3 linked regions of the Cricetulus griseus genome follow. The protein of the gene in region 1 purifies or fractionates together with the protein of each later gene. This does not show direct contact. Links are inferred from orthologs where the notes say so. Each region holds a gene or a part of one and is shown in the gene's direction. Other genes may lie near its edges.

What was found.
Region 2: the proteins of Cdc42 (region 1) and Prkci purify together in Homo sapiens (co-immunoprecipitation; 3 studies listed by BioGRID and IntAct, with this or other methods). This does not show direct contact. The link is inferred for Cricetulus griseus from reciprocal best matches to the Homo sapiens genes CDC42 and PRKCI.
Region 3: the proteins of Cdc42 (region 1) and Iqgap3 purify together in Homo sapiens (affinity purification with mass spectrometry; 4 studies listed by BioGRID and IntAct, with this or other methods). This does not show direct contact. The link is inferred for Cricetulus griseus from reciprocal best matches to the Homo sapiens genes CDC42 and IQGAP3.

The regions. Positions count from the first base shown.
Region 1 is NC_048595.1:15,949,642-15,960,115, forward strand, and holds the start of Cdc42 (cell division control protein 42 homolog), read left to right. Parts: upstream 1-4,559; 5' UTR 4,560-4,681; intron 4,682-10,474. UniProt on the Homo sapiens protein: Plasma membrane-associated small GTPase which cycles between an active GTP-bound and an inactive GDP-bound state. In active state binds to a variety of effector proteins to regulate cellular responses. Involved in epithelial cell polarization processes.
Region 2 is NW_023276806.1:119,644,693-119,655,079, forward strand, and holds the start of Prkci (protein kinase C iota type), read left to right. Parts: upstream 1-5,283; 5' UTR 5,284-5,479; coding exon 5,480-5,580; intron 5,581-5,870; exon of another isoform or gene 5,871-5,930; coding exon of another isoform or gene 5,931-5,935; intron 5,936-6,084; exon of another isoform or gene 6,085-6,099; coding exon of another isoform or gene 6,100-6,107; intron 6,108-10,387.
Region 3 is NW_023276806.1:66,388,206-66,398,408, reverse strand, and holds the start of Iqgap3 (ras GTPase-activating-like protein IQGAP3), read left to right. Parts: upstream 1-4,802; 5' UTR 4,803-4,871; coding exon 4,872-4,908; intron 4,909-6,526; coding exon 6,527-6,614; intron 6,615-10,061; coding exon 10,062-10,203.

The DNA.
Region 1 (10,474 bases):
CTCTCTCTCTGTGTGTGTGTGTGTGTGTTACTTGTGAAGGACAGAAGAGAGCTTCAGATCCCCTGGAACTGGAGCTACAGATGGTTGTGAGCTTTGGTGTGGGTGCTGGGATTCCTTAGGAAGAGCAGCCAGTTCTCTTAACTGAGCTATCTCTCTAGCCACCCCCATAGTTAATACAAGGTATCTCAGGAATGATTAAGAGGCTTCAGACAGACCTAGTTTGCAGAGGAGAGGAGTTTGACAACAAAAAAGAGAAAAGTGGAATCTAGAGACACAGAGGTGGGAAAGCACACAGGCTGATGTTGACCAAAGCTGTGTTCCCAGCCAGCTGTGGTGATGCATGTCTGAGATCCTGGCACTTGTGAAGATGAGACAAGAAGGATTAGGATTTTGTGGCCAGCCGAGTGCCATGTTGTGAGTTTGAAGTCAGTCAGAGCAGTGCAGCTCTGAAAACCGGAAAAACCCGGAAAAAGAAAGAGAGGGAGGAGCTCCAGTGTGACTTTGGGGTGCTGATAGCTGGGAATTTGGAGATGGGTGTGGTATCAGGACCTGGAGGAGATGGAGCTGTGGAAGTTATCTAGAGAGGGGGTAGAGCTTATTACCACATAGTAACAGTCAAGGAGCAGAGGTGGCAGAGTGACTTCAAGAGCCTTGTGTTTGGATGTGATGAGATGACTGGCTCAGTGGGTGCACCCCACAGTTCATAAAATTAAAAAAAAAAGTCTTGGCTAGAGCTTAATGAGAAGTAAGCTCAGCACTAATGGAGGGGCAAAAAGAACAGAGATATAGGGGCTGGGGAGATGGCTCAGTGGTTAAGAGCACTAACTGCTCTTCAGGAGGACCAGGGTTCAATTCCCAGCATCCACATGGCAGCTTACAGCAGTCTAACTCCAGTTCCAGGGGATCCAACACCCATGTGTTTGTGACAGAAACCCATTCAACCTGGTCCAGGCAGGAGAGGGTATTTGTTGGCTAATGAAACTGAATACTGAAACAAGCCAGCACCCAGTGGATGGCACAATGCTCCTGGTACTTCCCTTTGCATATGGCTTTGTATGGCTCCCATTTTCAGGAGCAAGAGGCTGGCTGACAGCAGGGCCATGCTCACACCTGACCTCAGCAACTCCATTCATTCAGCTGGACAGTTCTCACCAAGTTCCAAAACAGAAACTGGGTCCCCTGCCTGCTGCCTATTCAGCTCTGTCTGCAATTATGAGACTGGTCAAGCCTGGGTTACACATCTATTCCTATAGGCAAGATGCTTGAACCAGTACTACAGGAGAGTTGGGGAACACCGTGAAAGCCAGTTTTATGTCCACTTGACACAAGCTAGAGTCATTAAAGAGGAGGGAGCCTCAGTTGAGAAAAATGCCTCCATAAGACCAGGCTGTAAGTAAGCCTGCAAGGCATTTTCTTAATCAGTGATTGATGGGGGAGGGTCCAGCCCATTGTGGATGGTGCCACCCCTGGGCTGGTGGTCCTGAGTTCTATAAGAAAGCAGGTTGAGCAAGCCAAAGCAACACTCCTTCACGGCCCCTGCATCAGCTCCTTCCTCCAGGAACCTTCCCTCTTTGAGCTCCTTTCCTGACTTTCTCCAAAGATGGACTATAATGTGGAAAAGCAAGCCAAATAAACCTTTTCCTCCCTGAGTTGCTTTTGTTTATGGTGTTTCATCACAGCAATAGAAACCCTAATTAAGACAGACTTTGAAGGCTGCCATCCTGCTAATTTAATGGAGATAGAGCCAAGGGAACAGGGCGAAGGAGACGTGAGAGCCTGGAGTCTTGGCTGGCAGCTTTCGATAGGGTAGATAGGGGTCAAGGAGTAACCCACTCCATCTTGGGGTGGTGGGAAGGTCAAGGGTGCCTTCTGACAAAACAGGGGACAAAGTGCTGAGTGAGTCCTTGTTCTCAGAATAAGTGCAAGCAAGGCCAAACAGTTGGGTGACACCCCATCAAGATATGGCAGCTGATGGAAAGGGCAGGCATTGTCTGGGGACATTCATGGCACTGTGAGGCAGGAGGAAAGAAAGGACATAGCCAACTAGCCTTGGAAACAGAGAAAAGCAGCAGTTTCTCTCAGGCTGAAGAAATTGATGCGGCTTTTCTTTTTTTTTTTTTTTTCTTGTGATAGTAAAAAGTTGGCATTTGACGTAGTCTGAGTGAAGGGTGTAGCTGAACCGGAGAGTACTTGCCTAACATTGGTAGGCCCTGGTTTCCACCCTGGCACTGAAGGGAGAATTTGCAATAGGCAAGACAACCTAAATCCTAACAGTGTGAGACTGCCCACATAGTAGACGTGGATCCACATGGTAGAATGCAGCCTTGGAAGAGGGGCTTCATTTGACACGGAAAGATGTTTACAGTGCAGCTTTGAGAGAAGTAGATGGCAGGCTGGGGGTGGCTTGGGGGTAAAGTGATTGCCATGCAAGTGTGAGGACTTGAGTTCTAATCCCTAGGGCTCACATAAAGCTGGATGCAGTGGCGCATCTGTAAGCTCAGAGTTCCACTGTTCAAGTTAAGATTCCTGACATACAATGACACACCCTTCTGGATGCAGTGTCATGCCCAGCTAAGTGGACTTATTTTTTTCTTTTATTTTTAGATAGGGTGTATGTATCCCAGGACAGACTGAACTCTCTATGCCTTCAAGGATGACCTTTGATTTTCCTGCTTCCACCTCCCAAGCTCTGGGATCAGAGCTGTTCACCCCCATACTTTATTAAAGTGGTAGTGATGATCAAATCCAGGGCTTCGTGCATGCTAGGCAAGCACTCCACTCACTGGGCTACACTTCCAGCCTGCAAATGAACATTATTATTATTATTATTATTATTATTATTATTTGGTTTTTCAAGACAGGGTTTCTCTGTGGCTTTGGAGGCTGTCCTGGAACTAGCTCTTGTAGACCAGGCTGGTCTCGAACTCACAGAGATCCACCTGCCTCTGCCTCCCGAGTGCTGGGACTAAAGATGTGCGCCACCAATGCCCGGCTTGCAAATGAACATTATTAAGATGTTTCTTCTGATATCGGGAAGCATCTGAGACTAGGACAGGATCCCTATTCTCTAGCGGCTTTCGCACTAACAGGGAAGACAGCAAACAAACAGGTACCAAGAAGACAGGGAAGGTAGAAGGATTTGAGAGATCAGAGCTGAAGGGACTAGCACAAGACACCCCAAGTTCTCAGCACAAAGGAGATTTATTTGACCCAGGGGGACAGAGGGCAGGGAATATGAGACAAAGACAGGAGACAGAGGACCAGGGAGAAGGGAAAGAGAACAAGGGAGAGGAGGGAAGGAATATTTGTCCCAGAGGTACAAAGGACTGCCTCTGGATTGAGAGGAGACAGACATGGCCCATAGACAAACAGCAGTTTATAAAGGTAAAAGGGGGAAATCCTGAGTTAGGATGAAATTTGACTGGACAGGTTAATTAGGTAAGACAAAGGGGGGTTTTGATCGCTGGACTACAATACTTTGATAGCTGGACATTGGCAGTCAGCCTCAGGAGGAGGAAGTGGCTAAATAAGGGAATGGACCATGGTGGCTAGTTTTAGGATTATAATCTAACGATTTTTAGCAAGACAGAGGGGATGTGGGAGGACAAGGCCATGTTTGCCACACTCGGGCTGGCTAGAGTCCCTTCAAGAGTCAACCTAGGGGGCCAGGGAAGAGGAGCTAGGCAGAGTAAATGCAGGACCTTTTTGAGGGGGCGGGTCTCTAGCTCTAAACAAAACCCAGGGCAATATTCTATTCTCACTCCTTGACAGGCAGATTGTTTAGAGGCCCGTGGGCTTCAGAAAGCTGTGCACAACAAGTCTCTATTTCTCTTTGAGAAGCAAAAAAGGATGCAGGGTGTGGAGATGCATGCCTACAATCCCAGCACTTGGGAGGTGCAAGGATGAGGATCAGGAGTTCAAGGTCAACCTCTGCTACATAGTTGTGTTCAAAGCCAGCCTGGGCTACATGAGACCCTGTCTCAAACGTCATTAAAGAAAGGTACCCTGGTCATGGGGATGCACATCTTTAATCCCAGCACATAGGAAGCAGAGGCAAGCGGATCTCCAAGTTCCAGGCCAGCCTGGACCATATAGCAAGTTCCAGACAGCCAGGGCTATACACAGAAACCCTGTCTCAAAAAAACCAAGCCAAGCCAAACCAAACCAAACCAAACCAAAAAGACATCCCAGACATGGTGTTGAGTATCAGCACGCAGGAAGCAGAAGCAGGAGAATATGAGTTCTGGGACAGTCTGGTCTATATAGCCATTCTAGGACAGCAAGGGCTATATAATGACACCTTGTCTCAAAATAAAAAAATTAAAAATAAGATATATTTACAATGCTTTTCTTCACAAAGTTCCAAGGACAAAAACAAACTTTAGTGACAACACTGTGAACACTTCTGTTCATAGTTTTATTACGAATAAAAATCACTGGTAAAACGTGCAGAAAACCTGAGTATAGGAGGAACTCAGCCCGCGCGTGCGCGATACGGGCGGAGCCACTACCAAGCCACGCCCACCGCGGCCCGTTCCAGCCCCTTCTTCCTCTTTGTCCCGCCCACTTCCGCGGGCACCCAACCGTGCGTCCCCTGCGTGCTGACGTCAGGCGCGTGCCCCTGTCCGGCAGCCGAGGAGGCCCCGCGCAGTGCTGCCAACGCCCCGGCGGAGAAGCTGAGGTGAGTGCGGGGCCCGAGTAGCCTCCCCGCGGGAGTGTGTTGTGCATCGCCCGGTCCCTGTCGCGCGCCCCCGCCCTCCCTCGGTCCTCGAGGATGCTCGCGGTCGGGGGCATCCCGGTACCTGCGGGCCTCGAGGGGGGGGATTGCCGGGTTCGCGTGCGCCCGCGGGCCCGGGTTCTGAGGGGAACGAGGCGGGGTCGCGGAGAGATTTGGGGCCGGAATGGCGACGAGGCGCTGCCGGGGATGGCGGCGGCGGAGGGCGCATCCCGGCCGAGCTGTCAGTGGCGGCGGGAGAACCAGGCACACCCATCCCACCGGCTCCCCTCCCCCTCCGCCCGTCCGCCCTCCCGCCCGCCCGGGCTCCGCAGACTCCTGGACGGGGGCAGCGGACGTAGGGCCGGGTTCCGGGCCGGGGGCTGGGGGCCGGGGGCCGGGGGCCGCCGGCCGCCGTCTACGTTTTCGGTCTCGACTTCCTGCTTCCCGGGCTCCGCCGTGGACGCGTTGCTGCGGGCGGGCGGCGGGGGAGGGGAGCGGAACTGCGGCCGCAGGGCCGGGCCGGGGCCACGGTGACGGACCGGGCGGCTCTGCGCCTGCGCCCCTCGGCGGTCCCCAGCCCCGCGCTGTGTCCGTCCGCTCCTGCCCCGCGGCTCCCGGGGCTCCCGCGACTGGGCCGGCCTCCTTGCCTTCCGGGACCTGTCTAAGCACCTCCCGAAACCCCGCCTGGCCGCTTGCTCGGTTCCTCATTACTAGCAGGAAATTTTCTTTGTTGGTTTTTCTATTTTTTTTTTTTTAATTCCTCTTTCCTCCCCTTTAAGTCCCGTAGAAATGCAGTGTGGAAGATTACGTCATCTCAGCATAAGGGGTGAGAGTTTTAACTCCTACAAGTCAGGGCTCCACAAATTAAGATACATCTTGTGGCCTTAGTGGGTCACTCCACTCAGCACGTCGGTTCAGAGTCAGGTGGTGTGTTTTTTTTTTTTGTTGTTGTTGAAATCATGTTGCCTGCCTTGATGGCTGCCTGAGATGCATCTAAAATACGGAAAGGTTAAAAATCTTAGGCTTAGGTTATTTTTGGCCAGGGAATACACACTGTCTGCAGCCACTTAGGTAGGCATGAACTTTAAAGGTCCCCTTGGCTGTCTGTACTCGGTTGAACTTTCTTGTGGGAGCAATTCTTTGCCACACTGACCAATTGTGACTTAACCTGATGTAAGGAACCTAAATTTGGTGCATGGTGCTAAGGGTGAGCTAAAAAGAGAATTTAGTTGTATATCTGATTTGTCTTTGTTAGAATTGCAACTTAAAGTTGCATGCTTTAGTTTTACCATTAAAAATGGTTTTCGGATTTATTTTTTATTTTGAAACAGGGTCTCTATGTTTAGTTCTGGCTAGCCTTGACCTTAAAGGGACATTCCTTCCTTCTAAGTCTCTCTTTATAGGACTTATTTATGTTCTGTCATGGGAAACTGATAGAATAGTCCCTGCCGCCTAAGTGCTGGGATTACAGGCATGAACTACTTAAATTACCACCCTTGGTTTTAATTTTTAACCCCCAAAACTTGAGTAATATTTTTAGACTTGTATCACTAGAATTGTGTCCTTTGATTATAAAATGCAGCAGTGCTGAAGAACATTAACATTGCAGAGCAAATGAGGTCCACTTGTGTAATGCATCCTTTTAAGGGTGGCTCATGTTTGAGAAAGAATTTTCCCATTATTGCTCATTTGTATAGAAAATAGCATTGCTTGTTAAGAAACACCAGAGTGGTGTATTCAAATTGACTTTCTGTAGTTTGTAGGTATGGCGCTTGAATCTTCCAAAATACACTGTTAGTCTTTTTGTGACATAGGAGTATAACATTGGAGCATTTATTTACTACTGTATTTTTTAGCTTTCTATGTTTAAAAAGTTTATATGTGAGCCAATTTGTATTTATTTAAAAAGTTTGTGTGTGCACCAGTTTGTATTTTTTTCTTTTTAATTAAGTAATCTGGCTGGTGAGATGGTTCAGTGGATAAAAGCACTGGTCAGGCAGGTCTGACTACCTTAGTTGGATCCCCAGAACCCATGGTGGGAGGAGAGAATCCTGATTCCCAAAAGTTGTCATCTAGCTGGATTTATTTAGTGTTCCATACTTTCAATCTTAGGCAGAGGCAGGTGTATCTCTGAGTTTGAGGCCACCCTTGTCTACATAGAGAGTTCTAGAACATCAAGGACTAGAGAGACCCTGTCTTGAAAAAAGAAAAACAATAACTGTCCCAGATCTTCACATTTTGGCAGCATGCAAGCATGCATGTGTACACACTTAGAAATACACACAGTAATAATAAAAATAAGCAATTACTTTGAAGTTTTAGGTTTTAGACTAAGGCAAGGAAATAAGATTGGTAATTAACTGAGTATTAAAAAGGAGCTTTGAAAATATATACAGTAATTTGTTCAAGACCCAAAGGTGTCTTGTCTTCTGTTACATTCTCTTAAGATGTTTCATACAGTGACCAACCCCGTAGCTTAGTAAACACATTTCCCCTGTCCAGTATTCTAAGCAAGCCCATCAAGACTGAATCCTGAAGTTTACAAAATGTCAAAGTTTGTTTACTTAGGATTTCTTTTTTGCACTTGAAATAGTTTTTTAAAATGTTTTTATTCCTTCATACTTTCATACATGCATACAAAGTGTTTTATATTTTGATCATGTTCATCCCTATCTCCTTTCTCTACCACCTGATCCCTGTCCCCAATATGTTCCCCTCCCAACTCTGTGTCCTCTTTTGTGATCCACTGTGTCTAGTTAATGCTGCCCCACTTGTCATCTTATGATCTATGAAAGAAGCATTTTTATTTTTATGTGTATACTGATAAAAATAAAAAATACCCAAAAGCTATTAAATTTGGACAATTATGTACTTTGTCTTTTTTGGGAAGTAGCACTGATAGGGTTTGGAAGCACAGGTCAAATTATGCTTTGATTTATAGTACTACAATTTAAATGGAATTCTCTCATTTTAGTTGTTTTTTAAGAGTATAAGAAACATTTAATCATTTTAGGGTATAAGATCTCTTATAAAGGGGAACAGTTCATAGTGGGTGCATTTTTCTCCCATAAACAGCTCTCTGTCCCTCAGTGTTAAAGGGCTATTCTGTATTCCTATGATAGTGCCTTTTCAGTCTTTGCAAAATGTTTGCTGTCAGTTTCCCCTGATAGAACATAAATAAGTCCTGTGAATCCAGGGCTGTGACTTGGTATGGCCATCGTGTGTCCTTTTAATAAATATTTGCTAATTTGTGAGGGTTACCATTCTCACTGTTTTTCTGTGCATCCTATAGTCCTTCATGTTTCATTTGTTGAGATTACTTTATTTGCCTGGCCAGCCATATCCAAATCTGGACTCACTGAAACTATTGCTAAGTTCCTTGCTTGTCCTTGTCTGTCAGTTAAGTGCACTATCTGGGAATTAGGAACTCATCTGGTAATTATTCTCTTATTTTCCTAAAATGTATCCAAACTTAACCTCTGTTTCCTCATCTTCATGTATTTCTTTGTTGGCAAATAGTAGCTTATTTCTACTCCCTTCTTCCCCCTTGCAGTGTCAAGTTTCCTGTTCATGTGATGTTTTGCCCCTTCTGAGTTTCTACTTTTAGATGCTCATCTCTTCTGTCCAACATATTTTACTGAAGCATTTTTGTTAGTGCCATTCAGCTTTGTCTGTCACTGCTGGTGTCTTTAAGTTCATGGTGTTAGAGTTCTTCTCTCTGGTGTCAGAGTTCCTCTTCACTAGTTAGTTACCTTGGGACATTGGTCTTAGATGTTTATTCCATGAAGAAACTAAATGTTTTGTCATCTAAATGTGTTCTTCCCTTGCAGTTGAGAAAAATGAAACTGGTCAAGGTAGCACATTCTTACAGTCTTTTATTTTTATTTTATGTGCATTGGCATTTTGCCTGCATGTATGTCTGTGTGAGGGTGTCAGGTTACAGACAGTTGTGAGCTCCCATGTGGGTGCTGGGAATTGAAACCAGGTCCTCTGTAAGAGCAGTCGAACTACTGAGCCATCTCTCCAGCCTCATTCCTATAATCTTAACACTTGGGAAGTATAGGAGGATGTGGAAGAAGTTTAAGGCCAGCCTTGGTGACATGGAGTTCTAGGCCACTCTGAATTACATGAGATCATGACTCAACAACAACAACAACAACAACAAAAATCAGTTTTTAATTTTTAAAAATTAAGAGTCTCATTAAGTTATCAAGATTGGGCTTAAATTTACCATACTCTTTTTTTTTTTTTGGTGTTGTTTTTTTTGAGACAGGGTGTCTCTGTAGCTTTGGTGCCTGACCTGGAACTTCATCTATAGACCAGGCTAGCCTCGAACTCACAGAGGTCCACCTGTCTGCCTGCCAAGTGCTGGGATTAAAGGTGTGTACCACCAATGCCCAGCAAATTTGCCATAATCTTATCTCAGTTTCTTCAGTAGTTAGGATTACAGACCTGAGCTAGCAGACCCAGCAGGGTGGGGGGGAGGGAGAATGTGTATATTTGTGCATTTAGATTTGTTTTGTGTGAATGTGTTTTGTGTGCATCATGTGCATGCCTGGTGTCCACAAAGGTCAGAAGAGGTGGTTGGATTCCCTGGAACTAAAGTTAGGACTGGTTGTGGGTGCTGGGAACCAACCTGGGTCCTCTGCAAGGATAGAAGTGCTTTTAACAGCTGGGCCATATCTCCAGTTTGTTTTTAAATTTAATACCTAGTATTAGTTGTTAAGTTGCTGTGTTGGTGCACTGTCACAGGAAGAGAACCTCTGACTGTGTTGCTTTACTTAACACATCATTTTCTTGAGGCTCTTTTGTTTCCATCTGCTGCTTTAGTTTGCTGCTGTGTGTTCTGGAGATGCTGCTGTTTAGAGCACTTGGAAGCATAGACTTTGGAGCTAGACTGTCTGGGTTGAAATCATTGATCTGTCATTTATTAGCCATGTTCAATCTTAAGTCATGCTTTGTGACTTCAGTTTATCCTTTGAAAAATGAAGCTAGCAAGCCTAGCAGGTAATTTAGGCCTGTAATCCCAGCACTTAGACGAAGGGTTGGAAGATCAGGAGTTTAAGATCATAAACTTTAGGAGTTAGATGCCAGTCTGAGCTACATGAGACCTGTTTCAAATAAAAATCAAAATAAAAAATAAGGCTAGTAACAGCACCTGCCTCATAGTGTGGAAGATTGTATCAGTTGATGTTTATGAAATGTTGTAAGACTAGTCACCTGCAGGCAGAGCTGTGTAGGCTCTCACTATTAACTGCCTCTTAGGCCCCAACCCTTGACCTTAGAGGTTGTGTTTACTTCACACATAAATGTTTTTACAACCATCCAGTCCACAGACTAATCTCATGAATCCTAGAAAATTCCAGGTGGAGATTGTTATCTCCTTTACATTTTTATCTTTCCTACTGTCACAGAACCAAATAATCCCAGGGGCTGGTCCTGTGGACTAGGATAGTTATTATGTGGCCCAACATAAAGTCATAAGCATTGCTTAAAGTCTGTGTGTGTATATGTATGATTTAAAATTAAAATTTTGTGTTTGTGCACACTCATGCCACAGCTTATGTGAAGTTTAGAGGACAGCTTTGTTGAGTCTATTTTTACACCATTAACATGGGTTCTGGCTATTGAACTCAAATCATTAGGATTCCATAGTAGAAACGATTTTCCTCTGAACCATTTAGTCAGTGCCCTCCCTCCCTCCCTCCCTCCCTCCGTCCCTCCCTCCCTCCCTCCCTTCTTTCCTATTAAATTTTG
Region 2 (10,387 bases), on another chromosome or scaffold:
TGGGAGGATGCTTTTAAAAAGTGGACTCATAAAACTGGAAGGAAAGATGATGGAGCAGAGCCAGGCGCATGGTGCAGAACAGCAAAACTAGAGACACTGTGGCAAAGGGTATGGCACAGGGCCTCGGAGTGGCCTACAGGCTGCAAGCACAATACAACAGCCCTCACCAAGGACAGGAAGATGTTCGAGAGTCTGGAGCTCGTCAGGTTCCAGCTAAGATCGTCCTGACTCGGGCAACAGCACTATATCCAAGACGAGTCTCAGTGATAGCCCAGAATTGATGGTATTCAGAAACCAGAAACCTTGAACCAGACCAATGACTCGTTGCAATGCATGTAAAGTTGTTTGGCCCTGAAACCAGCGCTTCCTAAGGGTGAAGTTTTTCCAGAGAGATTTCTAGTGTGGAGATTGGTCAGATTTCAGTCCATGAGTTTAGGATGGCTAGATCGCCTGCTCAGGCATTGGTTAGTTTTCTGCAAGGTTCAGGGTCAGATTTAACTCTGGTTTCCGGGCCAAAATGTGTTTCTTTCACTGGTCCTTTCTAGCCTTTTGGCTCTAATTTTAGGGTCAGGGTGTATTTCTTTCACTGGCTGTGGTTCCAGAGCCAAAATGTGTTTCTTTGGCACTGGTTTCAGGGTCAGGGTGCATTTCTTGGCTCTGGTTACAGGGTCAAAGTGTGTTTCTTTGGCTCTGTTCAGGGTGTGTTTCTTTGGCTAGCCCTTTTCCCCCTACAACCCTGACTCTAGGCAATGACGGGATACCTAAGATGGAGAACTGTTCATTTTCTGGATTGGGCATCCTCCAAAGATGTCCATGGACCATGCTGTCCCCAGAGGACATGTTGGTATCTGTGGTTCGAGCTACAGTGGGGGTACATGCTTGTGTCCATGGTCCATATGGACTGTTAGTATTCAGGTATCTGTACTGGCTTGCTCTTAGGGTTCTGACAGGATATGCTCTTAGCTGCATCCACTAAGAACACCACCTGTGCACATTCACTAATCCCCCCTCCCTTTTTTTGGTTTTTTTCAAGACAGGATTTCTCTGTGGCTTTGGAGACTGTCTTGGAACTAATTCTTGTAGACCAGGCTGGTCTCGAACTCACAGAGATCCACCTGCCTCTGCCTCCCGAGTGCTAGGACTAAAGGCGTGTGCCACCAACACCCGGCACTACATCTCCTTTTAAAAGGACCCTGCCCTCCCATCTTTCTCTCTTTCCCTATCTCTCACTCTCTCTCTCTCTGTCTCTGCCTCTCTCTTCTGCCATTCTGATCCCCAGAGACCAGTTTCCCCTCTCCCCTTTTCCCATTCACTTTCTCCCAGTAAAAAAAAACCCCTCCATCCTGTCAATAAGGAGGCCTCTGCACTCCAGGGAGCCTCTGGTGGTGGACTAGTATTTTTCCCTGGTGCAAGAAGGGACTTTGAGAGCCCATCCCACGTGAAGGGATACACTCTGGCCATGGACACATGGGGAAGGGTCCAGGACCAGCATAGGAAGACTTGGTGGACTTTGCAGAGCCCCCATTGAGGGCCCTACCCTGCCTGGGGAGTGGTGGGTGGATGGGGTGGGGGGTAGGCTGGGGTGGGGGAGGAGGGTTGGGATGAGGGAGGGAGAGGGAGAAGGGACTTGAAATAAGCTTGTTCCCTAACTAGAACTAATAAAATAAAATAATAATAATAAAAAAAAACAACCCTCCATCCAAGCTCTGTCACATGTCGTCTTTCTCTTGCATGCCGCTTTTTAAAATTACAACGTGGCCTCTGTATGTGTCTTAGGCAGGCCTGGAACTCACTGTGTAGCTGAGGATGCCTTGACTATTGCTTATGCTGCTTCCATTCACAGGTGCTAGGATTACAGGTATGTGCCACCATATCCAGCTTGATTTCCTTGTTTTTAGAGTTACTACAGTTCAGATATGAGGTTGAGGAGCCAAGTTGGCCTTTTCTGTCCACTCCCACTGTGCTGCACTGTCTGTGCTGCCAGGCTAGCACCCTGTCCCCAGCCACCATCATGATCATGTACGGGGACCTCATCAGTCATGATGAGCTGTTCTCCGACATCTACAAGATCTGGGAAATCGTGGACAGGCTGTGCCTGGGGGTGGAGGGCCAGCAGAACAGAGGGTAATGTGGATGACTCACTCACTGGTGGAAACACTTCTGCTGAAGGGGAGGGCACAGAGCTGAAGACACAGTAGTCACCTGTGTTGACACCATGAACCATCACTTACAAGAGACCAGCTCCACAAAAGAGGCTACAGAAAGTACAACCAAGGTTACATGAAATCAATCAAAGGCTGCAGAGCAAACTAAGCACAGCCTTGCTGATTTCAGTAACTACCGTTTTTTTTTTTTTTTTTTTTTTTTTTTTTTTTTTTTTTTTTTTTTTTTTTTACGAAAACACGAATCCAGATGGCATGGTTGCCCTCCTGGACTACCGTGAGGATAGTCTGTTTAAGATTTTAAGAATGGCTTCGAGATGGAGGAATGTTAACAGATTGGATCTATCTATTGCCTGGCTCTATACCCAGATGCTGCTTACACAACACCAGGAGTTGGGACAAATGGGACCTTTGTCATCTTGGACTTCTATTGTGATCTTGATTTATTTGTAAGGTATGTAAAGTATAGTTCAGTAAAATTTCAAAATTTTAATGTTACTCTCTGTGATCATCATCACAGAAGCATCCATCCCCCCCCCACCCCGCTCTCCTCCTAGTCTCCACCCCTCTCTTCCCTTATCTCCATATCCTCTAAGTTGGTCTTGAACTCATGGTTTCAAATGATCTTTCTACCTCATCCTTTGCAGTAGTTAGGTTCCCAGGCATATGGCACCTGCTCTAAAAGTTGTTATCTTAGGAGGGTCAAGATAGCTGAACTGGTACAGACAGCTGCTGCTGAGGTTGACAACCCAAGCGTAATCCCCAAGACCCATATGGTGGGAGGAGAGAACCAACTCCTCTAAAAGTTGTCCTATGATCTGCACAGGTGCCCCACCCCCCAATAAAAACAACTTAATGATTTTTTTAAAATTTAATTTTATTTTATGTATATGTATGTTTTGTCTGCATGCATGTTTGTGCACCATGTCTGTGCCTAGTACCCACAAAGGTCAAAAGGCATCAGATCCCTTGGAACTAGAATTATAGACCATAGCTGCCATATGGGTTCTGGGATTTGAACCCCAGGTCCTCTAGAACAGCAGCAAGTGCCCTTACCCACTGAACCTTTTCTGAGCCTCTGTAATGATTTTTTAAAAAGCTATCATCTTTAAGAAAAGGGATTTTTTGTGTGGTGGTATTTATATGAGTTATAGTTACAGATTCTTATAGCTAACACAGTAAGTACTAAAAGTCCTTGGGTAACAATGGCCACTTTCTTCCCCCACCTGGGATAAGGTTTCTCTGTGTAATAGCTCCGGCTGTCCTGGAACTTGCTCTGTAGATCAGGCTGGCCTTGAATTCACAGAGAGCTGCCTGCCTCTGCCTCTGCCTCTCGAGTGTTGGGACTAAAGGCTTGCACCACCACCACCCAGCTAACAATGGCCACCTTTAAAACCATGTTATGAAGCCATCAATGACAGATTTTTCAAAAGTCCTAAGGACTAAGGATTAAAAAACATTTTTTTTCTGTGACTTACTTTCTATTTCTTTATATTTACTCCTTATATGTCACAATTAATTTTTCTAGAGCATTATATAATCCGAATTTATCACAAAGCATAAAAAATTTTTCAATAAACCAATTAAAATTTGGCCATCTTGGGTTGGAGAGACGGTTCAGTAGTTATAAGGCACTGATTAATCTTCCTGGGAACCTGGGTTAGATTCCCAGAGCCCAATACAGGTCACCATTTATGTAGCTCCAGCTCCAGGGGATCTGACACCCTCTTCTGGCCTCTTCAGGAACTAGGAACGCATGTGGTGCACACACATAAAAAATAATTAAAAATTTGACCATCTTGTTTTAGCTATAATTTATAGTGGATAGTAATCAGTTCATATTTAATAGGATGATGCATGTCTAATTGTCAAAAGAATACGTTAGTGGGAACTTTCATATACTCCAAATTTGTGACTGTTGGCTGATGCCATACCAAATTAAGTGTCATGCATATAGCTCTCATGAGTTAAGCACCCAAGTGTAATTTGTGACTATAAAGAAAGCCCTATCTTTGATTATTTCAACTCTACATATGTTGCTATCTGGGCTGACTGGGTGGCTGGATTCAAGCTGCCTTAAGTATAGTAGGTTACATGACACAGCCAATACCTGAAGAAGTCTGAAAGTAAATTACAATGATTGATTATTTCTAGTTCTGTTAGCTAGTGTCAGTAACAAACGCTAATGAACTGAAAAGCTAGTTAAGTATTCATTGGGCACTTGGTTCCATAGAACAGCAGTATACAGGGGGCCTGGGTATGGGGGCCCTGAGGAAATCTCTTGTATGATATCTCCCAGTTTAGTGTCTTCTTTCGTTGCATTCATTAATGCTTTTGCTACCTATATCATTACATTCTCCCAATAAAAGAGTGAGCTGGGCAGTGGTGGCGCACGCCTTTAATCTCAGCACTTGGGAGGCAGAGGCAAGTGGATCTCTGTGAGTTCGAAGCCAGCCTGACCTACAGAGCGAGTTCCAGGACAGTCAGAGAAACCGTTTCGAAAAAATAAAAAGAGTGTTCTGAGCAGGTAATCAAATCTTGTTCCCCCAAGTGGCACTGTTTAATTTCAGTGATCGATGAAATTGGCATGGAGACTTTACCTAAAAACAGAATCTAAATCGTGAAGAAGCCAAGTTTCCAATGCCCTCAGATACTCGAGCTGTTTTCAGGATGTCCATGCCTAGAATCCCAGGAAGCAGGAGATAGAAGCAGAAAACGCGGCTCCCTATACTTAAGAAGCACGTCCCAGAATCCCACCGGGACTCCAAATCCCAGAAACCCGCGCGCAGCAAATCCATCCAGGAAGCACAGCAGGCTCGCTGAGGACGCGACCAAGTACAAGAATGGGGGGATCAACTCTACGCATGTGTGTGCCCTATAGATGTTTCGCAGGAAAATTTCGGTTTAAAAGCTGAATTTTAGAAATTATTTGAATTTCCAAGATCTACTCCCTTTCATATAGTCTTGTGGTAGACTGGCGGATCCCGTTCCCGCTGCTACCCTGTCCTCCCCCGTAAGGATGAGAGCGCCGGGGCTCCGCAGCTCCTGCGCCCGCCCGCCGCGGTATGCGGCCTTGGGAGCGAGCGTGGTGGGAGGAGCCGCGGCGGGAGGCGTGTTGTGCAGCGCGGCGGGAGGAGCGTCGGGGTTCGGGCTGTGGCGGCGAGGCGACCCTTCGCGCAGCGCCGCGGGCAAGGCGGGCAAGTCGGCGAGGCGGGCGCCCACGGCTTCCCGACACACTCAGGCGGCCAGCTCCCTCGCGTCGCCCGGCACTGCCCCGGCCCCCTCGGCCTCCGGCGGCGAGGCGGGGGAGTGAGGAGATGCCGACCCAGAGGGACAGCAGCACTATGTCCCACACGGTCGCGGGCGTCGGCGGCGGGGACCATTCCCACCAAGTCCGGGTGAAAGCCTACTACCGCGGGTGAGTGACCGCGCGGGCGTGGGCGGGCTCGGCCCGGGTTGGCGGGCTAGGGTCTTGGTGGTGGGGCACGAGCCATCGTGGGGGCGGCGAGGGGCGCGGTTGGTGGCACCCGGGACGAATGAGCGTAGGTCGCCAAGGAGTCAGTGGAGAAGAGTAGGTGCACCCGGAGGGGAGAACAAATCAGCTGACTGAGAGATTTGCAACTGGGTGGATTGAGGATTTTGAGGGTGCTGCTGTGGGTTCGGAAGCCTGGACTGCTCCTGTTAGCTGGCTCTCTTCATTACCGACAGGCCTGAAGCCTCCGATTTTGTAAACCAGATTTGTATCTGCCCTTCGCCGTTGGAGAGTTCATGAAGTGAGTCTGGACTAGGGTCATATAGCCAGTATAGGAATTAAATTTAATACTAAAGTCAAATTTTTTTTTTTTTTTTAGGATGTGCCCTGGCTCCTTAGGTATGGTCAGAATTTAGTGGCAAATATGCTGATCTACATTTTGGAAGCCCTTCTTTAGTGAGAGATATGGAAAAGTGAGAAGACAGCTTTAACTCCTGTGGTTTTCTTCGCTCAGTTGGTCACCAGGCCTTTAAATTAATGTGGCTGCCAAAAGTAATCCAGTTCTAAGAGATCATTGCATCAAATAATTCTCTATCATGACTTACCGTAAAGTTCTTCCCTTTCTTTGAATTCGGTTTGTGGCTTGAGATCATTGAGGAGCACTAGTGAGTGTGAGCATGGGGACTGAAAAGTAGGGATTAACAGAAAACCCAACTGCTTGTCTAGGCAGATTGCTTTTAAAAACTTGGAGTACCACAAGGTTAAAAGTGCTATGCGTGCTTTTACATTCCTGAGGGGATCAGTGAAGATAGCAGACCTTCGGATTGCTTTCTTGTTTTCATTTCAAAGAGCACTGGAGCTCCATGTCTTAATGCTTTCACAAAAGGCCTTAGACTCTTGGAGGCCAGCCTCTGTAACATCCGCTGATTTCAGGACTAATTTGTAGGACTTACAGTAAGCACTGTTGTTAGTTAAAATATAGGCGAGAGAGGTTATGACTTTAAAACAATCCCCCAAACACATTTTCGTTATTTCTTTTCTTGTGAGTTTTTTTAATATAAGTTGGTAGTTTTCATAGCCGCTTTAGCCATTTTGTTTCATGGCTAGACATGAACAAACTTTGCAAGATTGAAAGAACCACAGTCCCCCCTCCAGGACAAATCACACAACTTTATGATAATTTAATAGATATTTTACTTAGAACCCTAGTTCTAAACCTTCCTAATGATGTGGCCCTTTAATACAGTTCCTCAAGTTGGGGTGATCCCCAACCATAAAATTAATTTTATTGCTGCTTCATAACTGTGATTTTGCTATTGTTACCAGTTGTAATGTAAATATCTGTGTTTTCTGGTGGTCTTAGATGGCCCTGTGAAAGGGTCCTTTGATCTCTGCTTAAAGGGGTTGAGAACCACTGCTTTAAAGAGTGCTCCATTTTCAAAGTTGACAGTCCATGGCTATTAGGTGCAGAGGATGAAGTACGGTGGATTTTTAAAAAACTGCCTGATTATTGATAGGTTAACAAACCAGAGTCAATATGAATCCAGGGACATACTAGGAAAGTACATATTGTGTACAGGTGTAAAATAAAGTGTGTCTTTTAACTCTCCAGTCTCCACAGGCTCTACTGTTGATGGTTAACTTGTGGTTCTTCTGAAGGTTGCATTTATTATTCTAAAAGTTGCATTCATTAATCAGCCGCTTAGAGCACTTGCTATTCTTCCAGAGGAGCCAAATTGGGTTTGAAGTACCTGCATCAGGTGGCTTACAACTTTCTGTAACTTTAGTGCCATGGGACCCAGTACCCTCTTCTGGCCACTGTGGCACCCCATACATGTGACACACACATATACATAAACAAATTCTTGGGTTATCATCTTTAGATAATATTTATTGATTACTTAGACTAAAAGATGAAAATTAGTGTATATAATTTTCTATACTATATATACCTTCTGTTTCCTTTGTCTCTCAGATTTTTGTTGTTTAGCTATTGTTTTTAGTTTTTCACTTACTATTCTTAGCCTCCAGGGACTCGATGAAAGAGCAAGGAATTAATGCTTTTTCATTTTCTCCATATTTTTATTAGTTTAACAAGTATAAATAGGCACATTATATCAATAATTTCCAAATTTTCTTTGAAAAGAAATCTTTATTTATTGCTCCAATTATTTAAAAAAAGAAAAGAGAATATGGATATAAGATGTGTCTGTTTAAAATTTCTTGAAGACAATCTTCTAAAATTTAAGAAATTTTACTAAAAAAGACACAAATGACTGCAAGTCTTCAGTGCTTTGTAATCAATAGTAATGTCCTGATAGTACTTTTTCCCCAAGCCTCTTCTACAGACAACCTCAGTACTCTAAACTGTACCATTTTCTGTTCTCTGAGTCAGCCATTAAGATTATGTGTTTATTAACAATAATCTAAACTGGTGATTATATTACAGCCAGCTGCTTATTAACATTGATGAGACTAAAATGACTCACTAGCAAGGACACTTAATAAATAAGTAGGATAACAAATCCCACACATAATTAGAAAGTAGACTCCCCTTCCCTTATACTGTCTTTAATAAAGGAGGGTTTGCTTTTGAAAAATATTTTTTGGGCTGGAGATATACTGCTCAGTTGGTGGAGTTCTTGCCTAGAGTGCATAACCCTGCCATGGGGGACATTGTAACCCCACCACTTAGGAGGTAGAAAGTAGGGAGTATCAGAAGAGTGAGGTTGTCCTTGGCTACATAGTGCATTTGGGACCAGCCTGGGTTACATGAAATTTTGTCTTAAAAATAAAAACTACTCCCCAAAGAAAAAATTCTTTTCATTAGCTTTTTCAAAAGAGTACTATTCCTCCTAACAGTATTACTTTCCAATGAAAGTTGAATCTGGGAGTGTTTTCAGTGAGTGATTTATCCTCTTTAAAATATGTATACAGTCTACTTGGGCTGTTTATGTTTGATTTCTAGGGAAAGTGTGTCCTCCTAGATATAAGAGGCATGCAGTTTGACTTTTTTCTAGTTTTTAAAAGTAGGAGATTTTTTTTCTAGTTTTTAAAAGCACTGAGAATTTAGTTTGACTGGAGACCAACTAAGAGTTCTTGTCTCGTGGTCTGTACACAATTTCCCCCGACATGGGAACTCAGTCAGTGGCCCTTTTCAGTTGTTACATAGGGCTGCTGGAGGAAGAGAAACAGGTTTTTTTGGTTAGTGATATATTGCTATTGTGTGCTTATCCGTATATAAAGGTACTTGTGGGATAGAATTTAACCAGGTAATATGTGGGCTGCTCATTTCTTTACATTGTATGTGTACAGGAGTTTGGCAGAAAGCTTGTAAAAAGTGCTTTTTAAGCTGCTGTTGTTGAATGGTGATTACAGTCCAGAGAACTCCTTCAGTTTGCATTAACTGTTTATGGCAGTAAAGGGGATCATACTGGTGCTTGCAGCTGCCCTCCTACTGAGCTGTATCCACAGCTCAGGATTGACTCTGCACATTTGGAATGTAGAGCTGTTTGCATTTTTTTCCCCTTACACTGAACAAGTCCTGTCAGGTCTTGTTTTTAAGAGCATTGCAAGATTATTTTAGCTGTGTACTTTTAGGCATTGGAGCTGAGGATATAGTTCAGCTGGTGGAGTTCTTGCCTAGTGTGCACAAAGACCTGGGTTCAATCCAAGCACCACATTAAACCAAGTGTGGTTGTGCCTGCCTGTAGTCCCAGTATATAGGAGGTGGAAGCAGAAAGATTAAGACTTCTCAAATTTGTCCTTGGCTGCATAGTCATAACTTGGACCCTGTAGGACCCTGTCTCAAGGAAAAAAAAAAAAAAAAGTGGGAATGGTGGAGTGGGAGCCAGATCCATGGGGTTGTTGACCCATAGCTTGGCCAAAGAGAAAAGAACCCTCAGAAATCTTGAATTTGGTGACACTGGGATAAATGGCGTCTTGGCACTGAGGACTGAAGCCGAGGAGTTGGAGAAATTGGTGAGGTCCAAGAAGCACATGCCCTCTGAAGGGCTGAAGGAAGGAAGCAACTGTTCAGAAAATTCTCCCCAGAGGGAGAGGTGCTTTGCTCCCCTGCTGATCCTCCCCTCCTTGATAGTCTCTGGGGAATTGGCTGGCCTCAAACTCACCAGGGCTGGCCTTGAACTCTCCATCCTCCAGACTGTGACACCTGAATGCTGGGATTACAAGGTGTTTGGTAACACATTTTCCTGTGTGTTCTCTCTCCTTCCCTTCCTCCCTGTCTCCTTTCCCTTGTTCCTTTGCTGTTCTCACACGGGGCCCCATGTAGCCCCACCTGACACATAGCTTACTCTGTAACAGGGCATGACCTTGAGGTGGGATAACAGGTGTGTGCCACCACACCCCAGCTTTGTGTCGTGCTGGTGCTCTAACCCAAGGGTCTCATGCATGCCAGGCAACCAATGCACCAACTTGTTTTTCCAACCTGTTTTCCCTTCTAATTTGATGATGGGACACTATGACATTTTGTCTATTAAAGTTGCCAGACATTTCTCAGTCTCTTGTTCTGAAGATTTTTAGTTTTGTGTAATTAAATCTGTTTTTTCCCTTTATATGTGGCTTCTTGGTTTGCTTCCTTAAGTGGATGTGCTTCTCATTTCTAGGTAGTCTACAGCTTTGTTCTGTGAAGATATTAAGTAGTCACCATCTCAATGTTATATTTTGGGGTATAGTAATCAGTAGTTTTCTGATACAATGTATATTTTAAAATTCTACTGACACTTTTTGAAAG
Region 3 (10,203 bases), on another chromosome or scaffold:
CATATTCATTTCTTTTTGTTTGTTTGCTTTGTTTTGTTTTTCAAGACAGGGTTTCTCTGTGTAGCTTTGGAGCCTATCCTGGCACTCACTCTGGAGACCAGGCTGGCCTCGAACTCACAGAGATCCGCCTGCCTCTGCCTCCCCAGTGCTGGGATTAAAGGCGTGTGCCACCAATGCCCGGCAACATATTCATTTCAATAATAACTTTAAATACCAGTGGCCTCAGTTCTCCATTCAAAAGACACAGACTGACTGAATTAATCAAGAAACAAAATCCATCTATCTGTTACCTCCAAGAAACACAGCTTTAAAGATAGGTACCACCTTAGAGTAAAAAAGATAGACAAAATTGCTCTAATCAAATGGAACCAAGAAGCAAGCAGGTATCACCATCCTAATAAATGACAAACACTAAAGCAAATCAAAAGAGATAAAGAGGGACATTTCATTCTAAGCAAAGAAACGGTTAATAAAGAAGACATTACTATCCTAAACATATATGCATCGAACTCTGGGGTGCATGATTTCATAAAAAAAAAATCTAGTACAGTGCTTAAAGACACAAATTAATTCCAATCCATTAATAGTTGGTGATTTCAGTACCCCGCTTTCTCCAATAGAGAGGTCATCTGGACAAAAAATAAACAGAGTAACTGGTGGCGCACGCCTTTAATACCAGCACTCAGGAGGCAGAGGCAGGTGAATCGCACTGAGTTCGAGTCTAGCCTGGTCTACAGAGCCAGCAAGTTCCAGGACAGCCAGGGCTACACAGAGAAACCCTGTCTCAGAAAAACAAAACAAAACAAAATAAAATAATAAACAGAGAAACATCCCAACTAATTGACATCGTACTCCAGATGGACTTAACAAGTATCTACAGAATGTTTCACCCACATACCAAAGAATGACCATTCTGGAAGCTTTTCTAAAGTAGACCACATCTGGAACACAGAAATCTTTACAAATTCAAGAAGATTGAAATAACTCCTTGTATCCTATCTGAGCACAATGCAATAAAACTTGAAATTGACAGCAAAAAAAAACTCTAGTCAGTATGCAAACTCATAGAGACTAAACAGCTCATTACTGAATGATCAGTGGGTCAAAGAAAACAACAAGAAACAAATAAAAAAACTTTCCAGAACTAAATGAAAACAAAAACACAACCAACAAAACCCCTGGGACACATTGAAAGCAGCCTTACTGGGGGAGGGGGTTGTAGCTGTAAGTGCCAGCATTAAAGAATCAGAAAGAGCACAAATAAATGGCTAGAGGCTGTGAATTTGAAAGAGAGAAGTGGGGGTATATGGAAGAGTTTGAAGGGAGGAAATGAGAGGGATAAATATTGTGATTATATTATAATCTCCAAAAAGCATTCATATATATATATATATACATATATATATATATATATATATATATATATATATATATATTTTAAAGAAAGTAACTGAAGTGAGAAAGGATTTATGTTAGCTCACAGTTCATCATGGTACGAAGTCCAAGCAGCAGGAGCTTGAAGTAGCTGCATCTACAATCAGGAAACAGTGAGTGGCGAATGCAGTGCCTTTTGCTCAGCTCCACATTATATAGTCCAGGATCCCCTGTCCAGGTAGTGGTCCCACCCACAATTTTTAAATGTCTTCCCACATCAGTTAACATAATCAAGATAATCCCCCAGAGGCATGCATGCCCAGAGGCCTATCTTCCAGGTGATTCTGCCAAGTTGACAATTTGCAATAACGGACATGGAGCCTTTTCAAATGTCTGCCATGAAGCTTTGAGCCTTGGCCGCTGCTGCTTGCATGATGTGTGGAGAAGGACGAAGGGATAAATACAGGTCCTAGAAGCCTATCACACACTAAGCCTGGTCCTTTTCTCACCAGAGCTGTTATAATTGTCTTTATTAGTGAAGCCGTATTATCTGTCCTCCGTGCCACCAAAGTAGCTTCCCAATTAGTCTGTACCCAGTCTCACTCTCTCCAAGCCCTTGCTGTCATCTTTTCTAAAGCACCAAGCTGCTCTGACCTGCGTCTGAAGGGTTAGCAGTTGCTCACCAGCCCTTGTCTCAGTACCTTGGCAAGTTGCCTAAGATGTGTAAGACACATCCTTCTCCCTAGCTGACCTTTTCCACATCACTAACACAAGTTTAATGTCCCTAATATTCTTACACATGCTGTTTCCACTGTGTAGAATGCCTCTCACCTTTAACCTGGTAAATTCTTCCCTTTTCAACTTGGATTATCAGGGACCAGAGGCACAGCTCCATGCAGACACATCTACCAGGCAAAACCAGGTTTCAAATTTTGCAGCAGAAAAGAATTGCAGGACAAGTCAGAATGAAACAGAATTGGAGGTTTTTTGTTTGTTTGTTTTTCGAGACAGGGTTTCTCTGTGTAGCTTTGGAGCCTATCCTGGCACTCGCTCTGGAGACCAGACCTGGAACTCACAGAGATCTGCCTGCCTCTGCCTCCCGAGTGCTGGGATTAAAGGTGTGCGCCACCAACGCCCGGCTTGGAGTTTTTTTCTTAAGAGTTTTGAACGGATTTTTAGGCACATCTGTTAATAGTGGGAAAAAAGAGAGTACACACCAATCATGGGTGTGGGCTTCTGCGTGAGTCATGCTTTTTTATGCCTTTGTAATAACCAAGCATCAGATTTCGATGGCTTCTGCAGTTACATCTGAGAAGGTTGCCAAGGAACTTAAATGGGATCATAGGTTGGTTGACTAGGTGCACAGGACCAGGTCACACAGAGAAGGAAAAGCCTTAGGCAGACATGAAGATTGCACAAGACAGTTGAACTGTTTTTCACTGTAAACAGTGTTTATATTCTTATATGTGAGATTCCCAAGAAAGGGGCTTGGCCTTTGTAGGAGGCATTGCCCAAAGCACTGCTCTGTGGGAGCCTGCAGAAGTATGCCTACAAGCAGGTAAACGTGCCTGCTCTCTAGCTGCAGAACCTTCTCCTTTATTCCCAGGTTCTGGGGCTCCGGGGTTAGGAGAATGTGGATGATTTAGAAAGCCCCTTAAAATTCAGCAGTTACCAAAGGCACTGTAGGCTGGGGTCCCTAAGGGACTTGGGGAACCCTTAGGCTTTCATTCCACATTGCAGGTTCATATCTGGAAAAAGAGGGGTAAGGCCAGACTGGAAGACCCACTGTAATTTTAACATGTTTTTCTTTCCTTTTTTCCTTTTGGAAATTTCATATATGTTTACAATGTGCTATGATCATGTTCACTCCTCATATTGTACCATTCTTACTTGAAATATTTCTGTATAAAAATAATATTATCTCAGGCTGGAGAGATGGCTCAGAGGTTAAGAGTATTGACTGCTCTTCCAGAGGTCCTGAGTTCAATTCCCAGCAACCACATGGTAGCTCACAACCATCAGTTATAAGATCTGGTGCCCTCTTCTGTTGCGCAGATATACATGGAAGCAGAATATTGTATACATAATAAATATATAAAATCTAAAAAAATATTATCTCTGTAGGTAGTCCTTACATCAATTGTTAGTTGTATAGAAAGTTTTTTTTCCATCTGGTTTATTTATTTTCATTTTATGTGCATTGGTGTTTTGCCTGCATGAATGTCTGTGTGAGGGTGCCAGATCCCCTGGAGCTGGAGTTACAGGCAGCTGTGAGCCACCATGCAGATGCTGGAACTGAACCCAGATCCTCTGGAAGAGCAGACACAGCTCTAAGTAGGAAGTTTTAACTCTTAGCTGGTAGAGATTTCACCCCCATGGTGAGGGGTCCCATTTGTAGCGTTTTTGTTATTGTTGTTGTTTTGTTTTATGTTTTTGTTTTACTCTTTTGACTTTTTCGGGGGTGGGGGGGGGCTGCCACTCAGCTTCCAAATTAATACATGGAGTCTTATTCTTACTTATGAATGGCTGGCCTTAATTTGGCTTGTTTCTAGTCAGCTTTTCTTAAATTATCCCATCTGCCTTTTGCCTGTGGGCTTTCCCCTTTCTCTATTCTATATACTTACCTTTACTTCTTACACTGTGGCTTGCTGTGTAGCTGGGTGGCTGCCCCAATGTCCTCCTCCCTCCTCTTGCTCCCAGATGTTCTTTACCCAGATTTCTTTCTCCTCAGATTTAGTCTCTCTGCCTGCCAGCCCCGCCTATCTTTTTTCCTGCCTAGCTACTGGCTGTTCAGCCTTTATTACACCAATCAGGTGTTTAGACAAGCAAAGTAACATAGCTTTCACAGAGTTAAACAAATGCAACATGAAAGAACGCAACACATCTTTGCACCATTAAACAAATGTTTCACAGCATAAACAAATGCCACACATCTTCAATTCATATTCCACAACACCATTCCCTACCCATGCCTTTTAAAAATTAGAACGTTTTTTTTGTTTTGTTTTGTTTGTTTGTTTTTTTTTAATCTTGCCTCATGATCAGCCGAAGCCTCCACTAGGAAGGTCTCTGCCGTCCACGCAGTGATTCTCAGTGTGGCACTGACCTCCAAGCTTTTTGACATTGTCTCTACCACTTGTTATAACCCCACTCTCTAGAGAGCATGCTTACCCCTGTATTTGTCACCTAGTTCAGTGTATAACACCAAGTAGCATACAGGGAGTCCCGGGAATTCTATAGGAAGTGGGACAGGTTAATGAAAGGAAGGGCAGCGGCAGGGACTATTTGAAAAAGCCAGCTGAGCAGAGAACGGGTCTTGCAGAAAGAGCAAATAAATCAAGGAACTGCCCCAAAGCTATCCCTCGCCTCCCCACCTGGGAGAAACTACGAAACCCAAGATTCCCTGCGCACGACCGGAAGTGTCCCAATCCCGGTGTGACCGCGGTGAGGGGTGGTGTCCCGGCGGCGGGAGATTCAAAACTGGCAGGAGAGGGAACATGGAGCCGTGTTCGGCAAGCCGGGCTCGGACAGCCTGTGAGTGCGGGAGGGCCCTGAGCAGGGTGGAGTGGGTGCTGCTGGTGGGGCTTGGCCTTCGCGGGAGGGCTGCCTGGAGCACGGTGGGGAGTGGGCGTGCGCAGGGTGACCGCGCTGCACAACCTTCAAAGGGCGCTGTCCCTCATCCCCAGGCTCTGGGGCCGCAGGGGCGGGGAGTGTAGACAGTCTAGGTGGCCTCTTAAATCCTGCCGTTCCCGTACTTGCCAAAGGGCGCCACGGGATGGGATTCCGCAATGCGTCTCAAAGGACTTGGTACCTGGTCACCTGGCGGCTTGTTTAAAACGCAGCACCCGGAGGGCGGGCTTGGCGGCGCACTCCGGGAAGTCCAGCAGTTGGAAAGTGGAGGCAGGGGGTCAAGAGTTCACGATCAATTTTAGCTACACAGTGCATAGAGGATGCCCTGGGCCACCGGAAACACTGTTTGCTTAGAGAGAGACCCAGGTTTCTGGGAAGGGCTGGAAGGATCGGCGGAACGAAAAACAAAACCTGCTTTCTTTACAGTCCTTCACCACTTGGACACAAATAGCAGAATCGGTGTCCACCCACCACGTGAGGGAATGCTCGTGCCAGAAAAAAACATTTTTGTGGTGGTTGTTTTTGGTTCGTGTGGCTTTTTTGAGACACTTTGTGCGCGCGCGCGCTCTGGTGCTCACGCTCAAGGCCCCGCCCATTTCATCTCGCTGAGTCCCCAATTCATAGCTCTGAGGTGATGTCACTCTCTTACGGGTTTATTTTCCATTCTTGAACAGCCAACTCTTGTTCCTTGTAAACTCTCTCAGAGGAACTCCTGCGTTTTCTGCCGTTGGCCAGTGCTTTCAAATCTGTATTTGGAAGTGTGCGTCTGTGGGTTTGAACTTTTATAACTGCCAATTCAAATAAGCCCAGCCCTTCCTGAAACCGTACAGCAGGATATCCAAGATGAGGAAATAGGATAAAGAGTAAGAATGACTGGTGCCCAGTCAAAGACAAATCCACCAAAGCTGTCGTTTCTTGCATGTTCGATGGGCTTGTATTTTTTTAGCCCAGGGCGGGGCAGAAAGGTACAGAGTGAATGAATGACTGGGCTTAATCCTTGACTGTCAGCCGCGATTCCAAGGGAGACCTGTGGCAGCATATATTTGAGAAGTTAGCATGTAATGAAGGGTAACATTCAAAGCTAAGCTCCCAGTTGAGGACGGCTCTGGATAGCCCTGCTAGTGACATTGAGGCAGACTTGGGAAAGAGGAGAAAGACAGGAGATGGCTGCAGAGGAAAGAAGGAAATGTCTCTGGAAGAGAAGGGTGCTCCCTGTTAATGGATTCACTGGGGAGAAGAACTAGGACCTGGAGAGTGCGTCTGTGCTCGGAAGGGGCTGCCTAGGAAATATGTCCAGAAGCAGCATCAGAGCTGAGGTTCCTGTCTTTTTGTTGTTGTTGTTTTTTAAGCTTTATTTTATTTTTATTTGTGGGCATGTGTCGGTGTGTATATCTGCCTTGTGTGTGGGGGTGCCCACAAAGGCAGAGGAGGGTTTGTTACAGGTCATTGTGAGCTGCCCAGTGTGGGTGAGGGAATCCCTCTCTAAGGCTGCATTGCTTGACTGTGTCCCCTCACACTTCAGATGAACGCCTCACAGCTGAGGAGATGGATGAGCAGAGGCGACAAAATGTTGCCTATCAGTACCTGTGCCGGCTGGAGGAAGCCAAGCGGTAAGCAGGGCCCAGGAAGATGGGTTCCTTTTGGTCCACCTTTCCTGTTCCAGGCACCTGTCACCAAATCAAATGCAAACAGACAAGGGGCTGTGCTGTGGGGAAGGGCAAGTTAAAATAATTTTGTCATGGCAGGCACAATGGTGCCTACCTATAATCTCAGTGCTCAGGAAGAAAGAGAATAAAAAGTTCAAGGCCAGTGGCAAGGGAGATGGCTCAGTTAGTTCGAGCAAGAAGTCCTGACTTCAGATCCACAGCACACAGTCAGCTATGGCAGCATGCACCTGTAATCCCGGTGCTTGGGAGGCAGAGGTAGGCAGATCCATAGAGTTCATTGGCTGACCAGCCTAGTCAATTAGTGAGCTCTAGGTTCAATGATATGAGAGACCCTGCCTCAGAAAATAGGATGGCCATTTTCCAGTTTCACTCATTGTCTAAAAAGAAAAAAATTGTCTTTATATAACAGAGTACCATGTACAGTGAAATGTACAGTGAAAATTTTAAATTAAAAAGAAGTAAATCTGTTTAATTAAAAAGAAGAATCTAGCCAGGCAGAGGTGGTGTGCACCTTTAATTCCAGCACACGGGAAGCAGATGCAGGTGGATCTTTGAGTTCGAGGCATAGTCAGTTCCATGATAACCACGGCTACACAGAGAAACCCGGTCTCAAAACCTAATCCCCCCCCCCCCCAAAAAAAAAAGGAAGAATCTAAAAGTTTGCACACGAGAAGAATCTAAAAGTTTGAACATGATGCTTACCTCTTAGGCCTTCTCTAGCCAGGCACACTGCTCCCTTTTTCATTTTTTAATGTCCCTGGCTTTTTAAGAAACTGGATCACTTTTCCTGACATTCTGGCGTCATTCGCTTCCCGTGTCATTCATCTTGTCCCTCCTTAGTCCCTATAAACGGATATTGGCTCTTAAAGGCTTGATTAGGTTTAATGGAAAGTGGTGGCAGCATGTGGTTTACATACACCTCACAGGAGGAACACAGCATCGTCTTGTGCTGCCTCTGACAATACTAAGTACCTGTTCCTGCGGTGCTGTTCTCTATCTCATGATAGCTAATGAGTTTCCCCGTTAGCTTTCACCACCTGACTTGTTGTCCGCCCTCATTGGAACCTTATTGGGGTTACAAGATGACTGGTGTTTTGTTTGTTTTGTTTCCCCCAGTGCTAGAGATAGAACCCAGGGCTATATGCGAAACAAAATGACTATTTTCCAGTGCTATCATGTCTTCATTAATTAGCTGAAATTCTTTCTTAAGAAAGGACTTCCAGGATGGGGAGATGGCTCCATGGGTAAGAGTACTTGCTGTGCAAGCTTGAGGATCCAGCACTCATGTAAGAAGTCAGGCATAGTTTGCATGCCGTAGCTTTAGAAATGAGGAATAGGAGCTCCCTGGACTGGCAGCTTAGTCAAAACAGTCAGCTTTGGATTCAGTGAGAGACCCTGTCTCCAGGGTCAGTGAGACCAGTCTCCAGGCAGTTGAGCAGAGAACAATAAAGGATGACACCCAGTGTACTCGTGGTCCCTGCGTATGTGTGAGATGTGCGTTATTATACATCCCTGTACACACTTATATACCACACAAAGAACAAAAAGGACTTCCTTCATCATCTGAGGGCTATTTGGTTACTTTATGATTCAGTTTATCTAAGAGGGGCATGACAAATACATTGTGTGTGTGTGTGTGTGTGTGTGTGTGTGTGTGTGTGTGTGTGTTTGGTGTATGTTTCTGTTTGTGTAGATATCAGACGAGGATGTCAAATGTCCTGGTGTGTCACTCTCTATTTCCTTGAGAAAAGGTCTCTCATTAAACCTGGAGTTAGACTAGTGGCCAGCATTCCCAGCCATCATCCTGCTTCCCCATATAGTGTTAGGGTTACAAGTGCTTGTGGCCATGCCTGGGGTTTCATGTGGGTGCAGGGGATTTGAGCTCAGGCCCTCCCCTCCCCCTCCCTCCCTCCATGCCTGTTTGGTAAGCACTCTGATCTGCTGAGTCATTTTCCTTTAAAATTTTTTTAAACTTATTTTTATTTATTTATTTATTATTATTATTACTTTTGTTTTGCTTTTTTGGGACAGGGTTTCTCTGTGTAAGAGTCCTGGCTGTCTTGGAACTTGCTTTGTAGATCAGGCTGGCCTCGAACTCAGAGATCCTCCTGCCCCTGTGCTGGGAGGGATTAAAGGCATGTGCCACCACCACCCATTAAAAAGGTTTTTAAAATTTAACTTAAATGAATGTGTATGGTGTTTTGCTTGCCTGATGTCTGTGTACCAAGTGGGTATCAGATACCCTGGAACTAGAGTTACAGATGGTTTGTGAGCCACCATATGGCTCCGGACCCATGTCCTCTGGAAGAACAGCCAGTACTCTTAACCACTGAGCTATCCCTCTTTTCTTTTTAGCCAATAGTCTATTTTAATGTTTCCCCCCCAAAAGGTAGACTAGAACAGATAAGAAAACAGGTGTCAGTTGGGTGTGGTGGTGCACACCTAAGATCCAGGCATTCTTGGGATAGAAGCAGGCGGATCTCTGTGAGTTCAAGGCCAGTCTGGTCTATAGAGTGACTTCCAGGACAGCTGGGGCTACACAGAGAAACCGAGTCTTGCAAAACCCACAGATCAACCAATCAATCAATCAGTCAGTCAGTCAATCACCCAGGTGTCCAGCAGGAACAGTGTGAATCAAAGTGTGCTTGGCTGTCTTTGGAAACATCTATAGACCTCAATATCTGGAGAGTTTACCCCAGGAGTCATTCATTATGCTATAGCCACCAGCAGTAAAATGCATTTATATTCATATTCAAAGTGTGCTCGGAATCACCAGATCACTGATTCTGGCAGCTGCCCACTGAAGCCAGCAGTACCAGTGAAGCTGGCCTCATTTTGCAGAGTGCAGTTGAGCTTAAGAGGCCAAGTGAGGGAGATGGCATGGAAAGATTCTAAGAGGTCTGGCCTTCCTGTCCCTGTGCTGTTCCTCTTCCATCAACTCACAGGGCCTCTAATACCCTCATCCTCAGAACAGAATTGTGTGAACTGTGGAGATCATTCCAACAGACATGAGCTTTCTGTACCTAAGTTTTCAGAACCATGCCGAATGACAGAAGTGGCAGATTCTATTTGGTTTGAGTCAGATATGTAGCTAGACTAGAGTAAGGGGTTACCTTACAGAACAGGGTAAGAGTCTGGCTACACCTCCTTGAAGACAGGCAGGTATGGAAGCCACTCAGGGAGATTTCCCAGGATGAAGGCAAAGGGCTGGCATGTTTATGTTTAGGCATTTATAGCAGGTTGGGGAAAGTGGGAAATGGTGAGACAATAGGAAGAGAAGGGAATTTTGGGTAGGGAAGGAATGGTATGTCAGGTCACTTGAGGGATGGGCGGGTCCTACAAATACCTGTGTGGCCTGCCAGTGTGTAAGAACTGCTCTCCTGCTCACAGCTGGATGGAGGTGTGCTTGAAGGAGGAGCTTCCTTCCCCAGTAGAGCTGGAGGAGAGCCTCCGGAATGGAGTGCTACTGGCCAAGCTGGGCCACTGTTTTGCACCCTCTGTGGTCCCCCTGAAGAAGATCTATGACATGGGA